Linked DNA regions of Canis lupus familiaris. The protein of the gene in region 2 interacts with the protein of the main gene of each other region in a pairwise test. Links are inferred from orthologs where the notes say so. Each region holds a gene or a part of one and is shown on either strand. Other genes may lie near its edges.

Region 1 (3,748 bases), on a different chromosome or scaffold from region 2:
CACCTGGGTGGTTCAGTCAGTTAAGCATCTGCCTTTGGCTCAGGTTATGATCCCAGGGTCCGGGGATTGAGCCGCATGGTGTGCTCCCTGCTCAAAGGGGAGCCTGCTTCTCTCTCTCCCTCTGCCCCTCTCCCCACTCATTCTCTCCCTTTCTCTTTCTCAAATAAATAAAATCTTTAAAAAAATTTTCACGTTTAGTTGATTTAAAGTCAAATATTAAGTAAGCAATGGTACAAGTCAATATAGCAGAAAATCATTATGGTGGTTCATATGGTACTAAAATTTGAAAAATAATACTCTAGCCAAGTCAATTTTCCACTTGTCCTTTTCCAGGGGTAGAAAATTACCTGTTGTTTGAGAAGCTTTCTAGAGCTGTATTCCTCTCAGAGCCCCAGAGAAGTCCCTAGATTCACAACCGAGGGTGAGTTAGCAACGCTGGGTGTGGGGCTGTCCTAGTCCTCTGACATGCAACTGCTGACAGCACACTGGCCTCAGTAAGTTGCAAGGACCAAAACCAGGCAGGAAACAGAAGACTGAACTTATGTCTCTTCTGGAAGAGAACAAGGGGCTGCCCAGTTCTCCAACACGTAACAGCGTCCCTGGGACAGATGACCCTGAGTGGGGCAGGGAAGAGAAGTGAGTCAGGACAAATCTGGAGGTTAGAACTTCAGAGATGGTAAAGAATCTGGCATATGGTGAGTGGTGGAAAGATGAAGATATTCAAGTAAGTCACACCTCTGGACCTCAAATTTTCTCTTATGTTTGAAAATAAGAGCTGGGCTCTGATCATCTATGTCCCTTCCAACTTTCAGAGTTCTACGATTACTTCTCTTCCAAACAAACCATTAATCTGACCAACGGGGAACCTGAGGCTCAGAGGTTAAAGCAGCTTGCTCATGGGATGCTTTCTCTAGCATTAAAAATTTATCTTCCAATGCCACCAGACTGACTCAGTTGGTAGAGCACCCGAATCTTGATCTCAGAGTGGTTGAGTTCAAGCCCCACAATGGGCAGAGAACTTTTCCTTTTTAAATTTCTCTTCTAAATTATATCAAAGAGGCATCCAGCGTGGTACTGAGAATAAAGCAAGCACCCAAGAAATGTTAAATGAGTGAACTTAGAGCGCTCACAGAAATTACGGGGCATCTCAATTCAAATTTTCTTTCTGCCTTTTTTTAAAACCCACACCTTGCTACACACCCCATCTTGGACTTCTGGGACCTGCATCCCAACCCTACAGGTCGAAAGATCCAAAAAATTCACCTCTATTGCGTTACAGGCACCTGACACTCAAGGTCGCACAGACCAGGTGAACATTCCACATTCCTAAGACACTGACCACAGACCAAGCCAACAAGGACAACAAAGCAATCTCAGAGGGTGGTCCTCTTCCTCCCCTTCTTCCCCCCACCCCTACATGGGGAGGGTGTGTGCAAAGAAATGACAAGCAATCAAAACCGGGAGAAAGTCTGGAAGCTCTGAGCAGTCACCTCAGACTCCACCTGCCACAGAAAAAATAAAATAGAATCCGTGCTACAGTCGCTTGGTGCCCACCAAGGTCAGGACGCGCTGGTGCAGGACTGAGGAGTCTCGGTCCCCAGAGGAAGAAAGGGTGGAGAACGAGGTGATGGGCAGGGCTTTGTGGGAGGCCTCTCACCTCCATCTATATCCTAACAGCTTCCAAGTTGCTCTAAGATTCCTGGAGAACCAGTCTTCCGATCAGCCCTCCCCCGCCCTCTTCCTTTCCTTCCCACTCCCGGCCTCCAGGCCCCCTGGCTGCTCCCGTGCTCTTCCCCGAGCCTCCCAGGCACCTGTCAAAGACCACACTCCAGGCTGCCTTCCCCTCCGCCTAGTGTCCTTCCAGCAGTTTCCCACTGAATCCTGGGTCCCTACTACCCCCTCCAAACCAGATGCTTCCCCATCTCCCCCCGGCCCCACACACACACACACTGGGGAAAGCCTCTCCGGGAAGCCCCAGAAACGCTCCGCTAGGCTGCTGCCCCAGCCCCCGCCCGACCTCGTCCTAAAGGGGGCGGGGGAGGCGGGGCTAGAGCTTAAGGTCAAAACTCTGGGCAGGTGCCGGCTGGGGCCTAAGTCCTCCATCGGGGACGGCGGCGGGGGCCGCCCGGGCCCCTGGCCGCGCCCCCCTCCAGCAGCCCACCCCGGCGGGAGCAGCGCTCCAGACGGCGGGCGATGGGGATGGGGACGTGGATGGGGACGGGGGCGGGGGGGGGGGGCGAGGGCGGCGGGGGGGCGGCCAACTGAAGAAAGCGCAAGCGGCTCGCAGAGTTCCCCGGCGGCCCCTGCCCGGTCCCCGCGGGTGGCCCCTGGGGCAAGAGGGGGCCCGGGCGGAGCGCGCGGTGTGGGGCTCCCCGGGGCCCTACCTGTCCCGCGGGTCGATCCAGCTGGTGGTGCGGCTCGTGTGGTCTATGTAGTAGACCTTGCCGTCGAAGTCGCGCGCCTCCTCCCAGCCCTCCGGCAGGGGCAGCTCCGGCCGGGGCATCTTCCCGAGCGCGGCCCGCGCTCCCCCATGCAGCTCCCGGCCGCCGCGGGGGCCCCGGCTCAGCGGCTCCGGCCGGCCGTGCCCAGCCCGGGCGGCCGCCGAGGCACCATGATGGGGGGGGAGGCTGGCGCCCGCGGACTGGGGGCCCTAGTGGGGGCCGGCCCGGGCGGCGCCGCGGTCCATGCGGCCCTGCGGCTCCGGCCCGCCGCTCCCGGGCTCCCGCGCTCCCGCCGCCGGCCTCTCACGCTGCCATGTGCGCCCGCCGCGGCGCGGTGCGGGCCCGGGGACGCGCCCGGCCGGCGGGGCAGAGCGAGCCGAGCGCCGCCGCCTGCTCCCCGCCGCCTGCTCCCCGCCGCCTGCTCCCCGCCTGCTCCCCGCCGCCTGCTCCCCGCCGCCGCCGCCGCCCCCTGGCCGGGCGCCCGAGCCCTCTCCGCCGCTCTGCGCCGCGCCGCTCTGCGCCCGCTCGGCGACTCCGGCCTCCGCCAGGTGCGGCTCGGGCCGTGCAGGTAACCGCGCTGCCCCGGAAACGGGAGGCGGAGCGCCGGGCGCCTGGGCTCCCGGGTCCCCTCCCCGCGCCCGGCGCTGCGAGGGCGGATCCTAGGACCCGAGACGCGCCCCCTCGTGGGACTGTCCGGACCGCCCGCAGCCCCGGTAGCCGGGAGGGGGCACCGCCCCTTACCTGGGCCCCGGACGCGCGCGGGGGCCCGGGTGGCCCGAGCAAGACCCGCTCGCCGCTGCTTCCCCGCGCTCCCGGCTCTCCACCTCGCGCCTAGGCTCTTGGTGCAGGTGGCCCCAAACCCTAAAACTCCCCGCTTCTCTTTTATGTAGAATCAGGAGCCAGACAAGAAGTGGTTAAATGGAAACATTCTTGCGATTCAGGGAACAGAAGTTTTCCTGGATCTCTGATCCCTTCCCCCAACACACGCACCATCTGTCTCCCTCTCCTTCCATTCTTCTCCCGGTGTGGTTTCACTGTCTCCTCTACCCTCGTAGTTGCTAATGTAGCTGGCTGTCCTCTGGGTCCCTAAAACTTGGAGTATATGCTATGAATCCCCTCCCCCCGGGGCGGCATCCAAGGGGTGCCCGGGGAAGCCTTTTGTAAAGTAACAGTAACAGGGTCTTGTGAACTGAATGGAGTCCTTAGCCCGTCCCAGGCGGGAGGCTAGCAGCGTCATGTGTGCTTCCGTCCTATGATACTTGGAGGTAGGTACGTTATGGATTTGAGGGAAGAAGAAAGCAAAGCAA
Region 2 (3,648 bases):
CTTTCCTCTTGGCTTTCTTTCCCTGAGTATTTGCCAGGCGGGCTCTAGCTTCAGAAAGCATCTCAAGTTCATCTGCAAGAATATAGAGAAAAAAAAAAAACTAAGTTCTCCAACAGAAACAAGGTATGTGAGAGACAAACTGTACTGCTTAAGAAGAGAAAAACCATAAATGTAACCATTATATGGTGTTATATAATGGAAATAGCCTGAGTTTTGAAGTCAGAAAAACCAAAGTTAAAAACGAGGCCCAGTACTTGGTAGCTATGTGACCCTGGTTAATTTACTCTCCCTGACCATGTTTATCATCTATAAAAATAAAATAAGTACTATTTCACAAGAATATGGAGAAGAACCAAGTAAAACATAATAGGTAAAGCATATTTATCATATAATTATATTCTTCATTATCATCAACTGGCACAGCACCAATCATGAAAAACTATCATAAAAACTACTATTTGGGGTACCTGCATTGCTTAGTCAGTTAAGCGTCTGCCTTTGGCTCAGGTCATGATCCCAGGGTCCTGGGATTGTGCCCTGCATCCGGCTCTCTGCTCAGTGGGGAGTCTGCTTCTCCTCTCCCTCTGCCTCTCCCCACTGCTCATGCATGGGTTCTTTCTCTCAAATAAATTCTTTTAAAAAAAAAAAAAAACCTACTATTTAATTACAAAGAAATTTATAATCTCCATTAGTTACACTTTTTCCCTCAGAACTATTTCTCTCTTCTAATACATTTCCATGGCTCCTAGAGTAAAACAGATTTAATTACTGATGCCTTAAAGCAACTCTTACATAAGGCTGTCCAGTGGAATCACAAGAGAACTTTAAAAAAAAATACTCAAAATTCCAGAATTACCCCCTCCTGACTCCAGCTTACTGACTCTGAACTCCTGGGGAGGCCCTGGTAACTATGTTTTTAAAAGTTCACCAAATGGGGGTACCTGGGTGGCTCAGTCAGTTAAGCATCTGCCCTCAGCCTGGGTCATAATCTCAGGGTCCTGGGATCGAGCCCCACATCGGGCTCCCTATTCAGCAGGGAGTCTGCTTCTCCCTCTCTGCCTTGCTCCTAATCTCTCTCAGTCACTCTCTCTCAAATAAAATCAATCTTAAAAATAAATAAAAATAATAAAAAAATAAGAGTTCACCAAATGATCATTATGCAGGTGGAAATCACTACCTTTAAACTTTAAAATTTTTAAATCTCAACAAATATCCACTGAATGCATCACAACAACCCTGTAGGGTAAGATAACTTATTATTCTCTATCTGGCAAGAAAGAGAATCAAATCTCAGAAAGATTATATGACTTGCCTAAGGTCAAAGAGGTAGTAAGAGGCAGACATAAGACTAAAATCCAGTTCCTTTGATTCTTGACTCAATATCTGAAAAAGGGATCCTGAGTCTCCCTCATAATACTGCAGTGCTGTCTTTCCACAAAGATTAAATTACCCGCCTGAAGTCAAAAAAGTTAATCGGACTGGAACCCCAAATCCTGTCTTGCCGCCACCACCTCTCCCCATCGAACAGGAAAGAGAAAACAGACTCCCTCAATGGCTTACTACTAGCCTTTAGGAAATCTACCCAGAAAAAAAAAAGAAAGAAAGAAAGAAAGAAAGAAAAAAAAAAAGGAAATCTGTCCAGTAGCATTACACTGCTTAATTTATTACATGAATTGAAAAATAAAAATAAAAAATAAATTCTTCAGGAGCATACACTCACTCACCCTCATCCATATCAATTGGATCAGGCCGCGCTGGTTTTGTTTCTGGATTTGGATCTATTTCTCCAGGTTTAAGTTTTCGTGGATCATCTGTTGTTTCCTCTTCGTTGTCTCTCTGTGCAGCTTTATCCCTAGAAAAAGGCCCAGAAAAGTTAGTCACACTATCCTATCATTCAGTCTTAGCTATACCAGGTTTTCTAGCGCTGGCACTCTCTTCTTTCAAAAACCCAACAGATGGGCATTCACAAAATAAAGTGATTCTACTATTGCTTCACCTGAAAGAGATGGTATTAAAATTCTCATTTCAATGAGTGTTTCCTTTCACTATAAAATACAATCCAAGTAGCTCCTTAATCGCAAATACAGGAAAGATTTACAAATAAAAACTTTTAATAAAGACTCAGGATATCCCAGTTACCTCTCTTTTGACTATGGGTGATTATTTGCTTTTTTTACAATTTTTTCCTCGACTATCCAGAATAAATATATATAATTTATATATTTCTTCTTTTAAAAAGTATATAAGAAGTATATAATTTCAATCAACCACATGAGACTTAAGAGTATATATAATTCAATAGTTTTAGTTCCTTTGCCTTTACTCAGATCTGCAACTGTATGTTTAAATACAGAACAGTGCTAAAAGTTTATTGGCCTCCTTCAGGAAACATACACACATTTTAATACTACTTTTGGAAACTGACTTACAAAAGAAACTCATAGTGTTCCAAGCACTGGGCAGCTGTTCTTCCAATGATTGGCGCAATAGTCCTCCACTGAGTTGGCATCAACTTGGCCAAATGCAAGAGTTTTTCTTCTTCTTCTCTGGACCACTCTGTTTTCTTAATGCTTGGATCCAGCCACTCATACCTATCAAAAAGATACCATTTTACACACTATTCGGTCATCTAGCATGAATATCCTATTTACACATTAGATATACTAACCTCTAGTGTCTGAAAAACACAAGCTAACTCTCAGCCTTTGATTATGAAAGCTGTTCTTCTTTCACAACCGATTATTCATTATTTGGTTAACTTTATCCCATTCAATATTCCCTAAGTCACCAAATTCTACTATACTTTAATTATGCAAGACTAGTAATGCTTGAAAAAGGTAACCTAAACGAAACATGATCATATGCCTTCTTTCTCAACTATCAAATGTTTTTTATACTTTATTAGAGGTTTTGAAATTATCTGAATTAAGACAATAACACCTCACATTTTTTGTGTTTCTAGTTTTCATAGCACTGTCTCATACTTTGATACAGTTTCCACAACACCTTGGCTTACTTCAAACATATGACTTACACTCATTAACTGCTTTCCAACATCACATGCTTTATTTGGAGTTTTTAAATTTAAGTAGAACTACTATGCCATCCTCTCCTATCACGCCACCCAACCCACCTTTTCTATCCAGTCTATTCAGCTGGCAAATAAGATATAAGCCTTATTAAATACTGGGGCAGGAGCTTAGCTCCACCAAGAGAAGCAGAAATCAAAACTTCAGGCTGACAACCATCTTCCTCTTTGGGATTCAATCTCTACATTCTGATCCTTTCTCCCACCCAGGTGCCTAGGAAATTAAGTCACTCTCATACAATCCAAAATATGATCCTAGCACCACATGGGTCAAGGCTGGCACCAGACCATTCATGCCATAAGCTTAATGTTTACACTATCCTGTCTGTGACTTAAAAGGGGACACCACAGATGCAGTGTTCGGTTAAGTTATATTCTGAGGTAGCAAACATACAGTATTTCAACTGCATTAATAAGGAAACTCAAGTAACTGTGAGCTAGCCTAAAAAATTAACCATTATTTATCGTTAATTTCTTTGGGAAAGTAAGTTCTAAATCAACTTATAAATTTCTGGAACATGATCCATTTATAAACTGGGGTCCATCAGTACTAAAAGTAA
Region 3 (3,748 bases), on a different chromosome or scaffold from region 2:
ATTAGGGAAATAATGAAAGTGTGCTATCTATTTTAACAATTAAAACACAACTAGAGAACCCTATAAACTTTTTGTTACCAAAGACAGTATGAAAAGTCACATTTTTATAAAAGGAGTCTTGATCTATTTTAAATTTTGCAATAGCAATGCTCCTTTTTATGAAAATAATTCACTCCAGTATGTATAAAACAGTTAAGAAGACTTTAAATTATAAATACATATTCACATGATTTTTTTTAAATTTCAAGCTTTAAAAAAATCCAAAGTAGTCTGTGAAAAATATTCAACACCACAGAGATACATTTAAGAAAAAGTAATTGTTTAGACTAAAATTCCACATTCTAAAAAAATCAAATAATGAGTGCTTCTTGCCTCCTTCCTTCTTTTTTAAAGTTATACTTTAAGGATTTTATTTATTTGAGAGAGAGAGAGAGAGAATGAGTATGGGGGAATGGAAGAGGGAGAGGGAGAGGGAGAAGAAGATTCAGCCCTATGTGGGGCTCCATCCCAGGACCACAGGATCATGACCTGACCCTCCTAGGTGCTCCCTCTTTTTTAAGTTTTTATTTTAATTCCAGTTAATGAATAGTGTTATATTAGTTTTAGGTGCTGCCTCATTCCTTCTTAAAAGCAGTCATCTTTTTATGAGTTTCTTAATAGAAATGATTCCTTTCTAGAAATAGAAATAGATTCCTTTAAGCACTGTTAACTAAATGTCTTTGACTCCTTTTTCTCACAGTGGACAGTATGATGAATAAATACAATTAAGTGTGAATAAACTAGTTTCTCAGTTCACAAATAAAGCCTAGTCCTGAACACAGAAAGCAGTTTCCATTAATATCTAGTTCTGTAGTTAATCCTCAAAAGATCGAAACTGTGATTTTTTAAGCATAGGAAACGAGGCCTAGGGAAATCAAGCTCCTTTTTTTCACATCCTAGTTAGTTAACGGTAGCTTAGAGACTGAAGACACTCTTGCCTTGTAGTCTGATTTATGAGTACTGGGTTCCCATAAAAGAATAAGCTAAAAATGCCAAGACAAAGAAACGCTTATTTCAAAAATGGCCAATAGCACAATCTGTCTCTCCTCCCAAAACTCATATGCATGGCAGATTTTTGTGCTGCTAATGCTACATGAAGAAAATGTAGGCCTAATCTGTCCAGTCTTCCATCTCAGTGCAAAGGAAGGGGCTGAATTTAAGTGGAGCTTGTTCTGTACGGCCTCATCCGGCCAACAGGCAGAGCTCCAGCTCCCTCGGGCTCCGCAGGGGAAGAGAGCCCAGAAAGAAAGAACCATCACCAAACCCCACCCTGCTATATCTTAGGTAAATAAAAACCACGTAAATTAAAAAAACAAAAACAAAAAAAAGAGGGTGTAAGAGCAAGCAATGGGTGCTCCTTCAACGGTACACCCGTGCACATTTCCTGATCCTCTATCTCCTTTTGCTCGGTGTCCCTAATGCTTCCACCCTGGCATGGCTTCTGCATCCTGTGTTGATCTCTCCTTTGACTCGACCCAGTAGGTATGGCCTTCAACTTCATGGGCACCGACAGAGCGGGTGTCAAGACCTGGGAGAGAGACGCGTTTCCCAAGCCTTAGTCCAGCACAATCCAGCAGCACATCTTTATTTCTAGGCAACTTCCCCACCGCTCTTCCCCCCTCTCCCCCGCCACCAGCGCATCGGCCCCCCAAGACCTCCTCCTGGGTGTCCTCCGACCCCGTCCAAGCTGCTGTGAGTCGGCGCCCATCCCTCCCGGGCGCGGGATAGCCGGGCCCTGGGTCCCAGCCCCGCGCCCCGCGCCCCGCGCCCCGCGCCCCGCGCCCGCGCCGCCACCCCCCGGCTCCCGCAGCGCTCTCACCTCATCCAGGGTGCGGCGGCCGCCGCTGCCTCTTCCTCCTCGGCCGCCGCCGCCCAGCTGCCGGCCGCCTCGGGATGCCGTCGCTCCCGGCCCGGAGACTGCAGAGAGGGCTGCGGGGCTCGCGCCGCGTCCCCGGACCGGTAAGGCGCGAGGTGCGCGGGGCAGCGGCGGCGACAGCAGGACCCACCGTCCGCCCTCTTCATGGATTTCCCGGGCCCGACCGCGGTCCTCCTGGCCTCGGTCTTCCTACGGTCCTCCCGCGCCGCCCGGGAGCATCCTCCAGACGTGATGGTGGCGGAAACCTGCAAGGGCCAGGCCTCTTCCGCGGCTGCCTCTGCCACCTGCTCCGCCCAGACTGCTTCGGGGCCTCGCGCACAAACACCGCCGCAGCCTCCTCGCCCTCTCATCAACCCATTCTCTCTCCACCCACTACCTCAATCTGCAAACCTTTTCATCCCCGATAGCACTCCTTTTTGTCTTCCAATCTCCTCCAAGGTCACTGTCCTCAATTTCCCACCTTAAATGTTTCTCTTTTTCTCACGCCCTCTCCCTGTGATTTCCTGGGTTTTGCCTTCCTCCTCCCTCCAACTCAGTCATCTTTCTTTGCTCAGAGTCACTATTTTTCCAGGCCCCTGGCTAACCCCATTTCTCCTGCTTTCCCTCTTTTTCCCTCTTAAAATCTTTTTTTCCCTCTCAATTTTCCCTTTTGTTGTTGTAAAAACAAACAAACAAAACCTTTCCCCCAGAAAAAACACAGTTTTTCTTTCTTTCCCTTGAGACTCTGATTTCCATTTTTCATAAAGAACTCAAAGTATAGATCACTTGATCTCCAATATCAAGTCAAGGGGATGTATTCATGGTTTTAAAAAAGTTCGTAGGTCAAATAAATCCTCCACTTAATGTTCTTTCTGAAAAGCCCTTTCTTATATCCCAGTGTCCTCTAACAACAGAAGCTATTCAGAATCTAGCAGAGCGAAATGCTTCTGCTGCACTATATACTCACGGCTTGCAACAGAGGTTCATCTTGGTAGTAGGCACCATGGATCTCAAAGTTTACAGGCAAAAGTCAATATGGACTGTTGATGGATTCAGTGTAAACAAAGAAACTCATTCTTAACACATTTTCCTCCCAAACCTGCTGTTCAGTCCTCCCCCCCCCCCCTTTTTTTAACCCAATACTATCATTCACCTGGGCACGGTCAGAGACTTATCTCTCTCACTCATTCGCCTCATCCAGTCTTTAATTCTACTTCTTTACTATTTCTTTGAGTGTTCCCTCCAATCAGGATTCCAAATGTTTCCAGAAAATGGCACTATCAGGTATCTCACCATTCGTTCTTTCAAACCTCCCAGCTTAATCTGTCTTTACCTCTGTTTTCCCTTCAACCTATCTTACCTGGGCAATTTACCCTACCATTCCCATCTCTGCTAGAGACTCTTAATTATCTTCTGTTGTCTTTATATCTTTGGCATCACTTTCTCCATTAAGTCCACCCCTCTGCTATAAACATCCCCAAGTCTCCTCATGCCTAAAATAGAGTCCTCCCACCTCAACCTCTAACCACCATCATCTCTGGCTTCCCTTCATAACCAACTTGCTTAAATACACTGTATTCATTTGATAGCTATACTTCCTGATTCCCATTCATTCTTTACCACATCATTCTTTGCAACCCGGCTTCTTATTACTTAGACAAAGCTGTTCTCCTAGCCAACTGACTTTGGCTTTGCCCACAGAAAGGCAGTAGGTTCGATATAATATACAAAATAAAAGTAATGAATTTCCTTAATTTTTTGAGATTCTTTTATTTATTTTTCATGAGAGACACAGAGAGAGAGGCAGAGACATAGGCAGAGGGAGAAGCAGGCTCCTCAAGGGGATCCCAATGT

The links. The genes of interacting proteins can lie anywhere in the genome.
Region 1: the proteins of CDC5L (region 2) and WWC1 interact in a two-hybrid assay, tested with the Homo sapiens proteins (2 studies listed by BioGRID and IntAct). The link is inferred for Canis lupus familiaris from reciprocal best matches to the Homo sapiens genes CDC5L and WWC1.
Region 3: the proteins of CDC5L (region 2) and PDE4DIPP2 interact in a two-hybrid assay, tested with the Homo sapiens proteins (2 studies listed by BioGRID and IntAct). The link is inferred for Canis lupus familiaris from reciprocal best matches to the Homo sapiens genes CDC5L and PDE4DIP.

Annotation. Positions count from the first base shown.
Region 1 is NC_049225.1:44,321,068-44,324,815, forward strand, and holds the start of WWC1 (protein KIBRA), read right to left. Parts: upstream 2,566-3,748; 5' UTR 2,504-2,565; coding exon 2,385-2,503; intron 1-2,384. UniProt on the Homo sapiens protein: Regulator of the Hippo signaling pathway, also known as the Salvador-Warts-Hippo (SWH) pathway.
Region 2 is NC_049233.1:12,976,358-12,980,005, reverse strand, and holds part of CDC5L (cell division cycle 5-like protein), read right to left. Parts: intron 2,592-3,648; coding exon 2,430-2,591; intron 1,853-2,429; coding exon 1,725-1,852; intron 73-1,724; coding exon 1-72.
Region 3 is NC_049238.1:57,721,289-57,725,036, reverse strand, and holds the start of PDE4DIPP2 (myomegalin), read right to left. Parts: upstream 2,281-3,748; 5' UTR 2,266-2,280; coding exon 1,859-2,265; intron 1-1,858. UniProt on the Homo sapiens protein: Functions as an anchor sequestering components of the cAMP-dependent pathway to Golgi and/or centrosomes.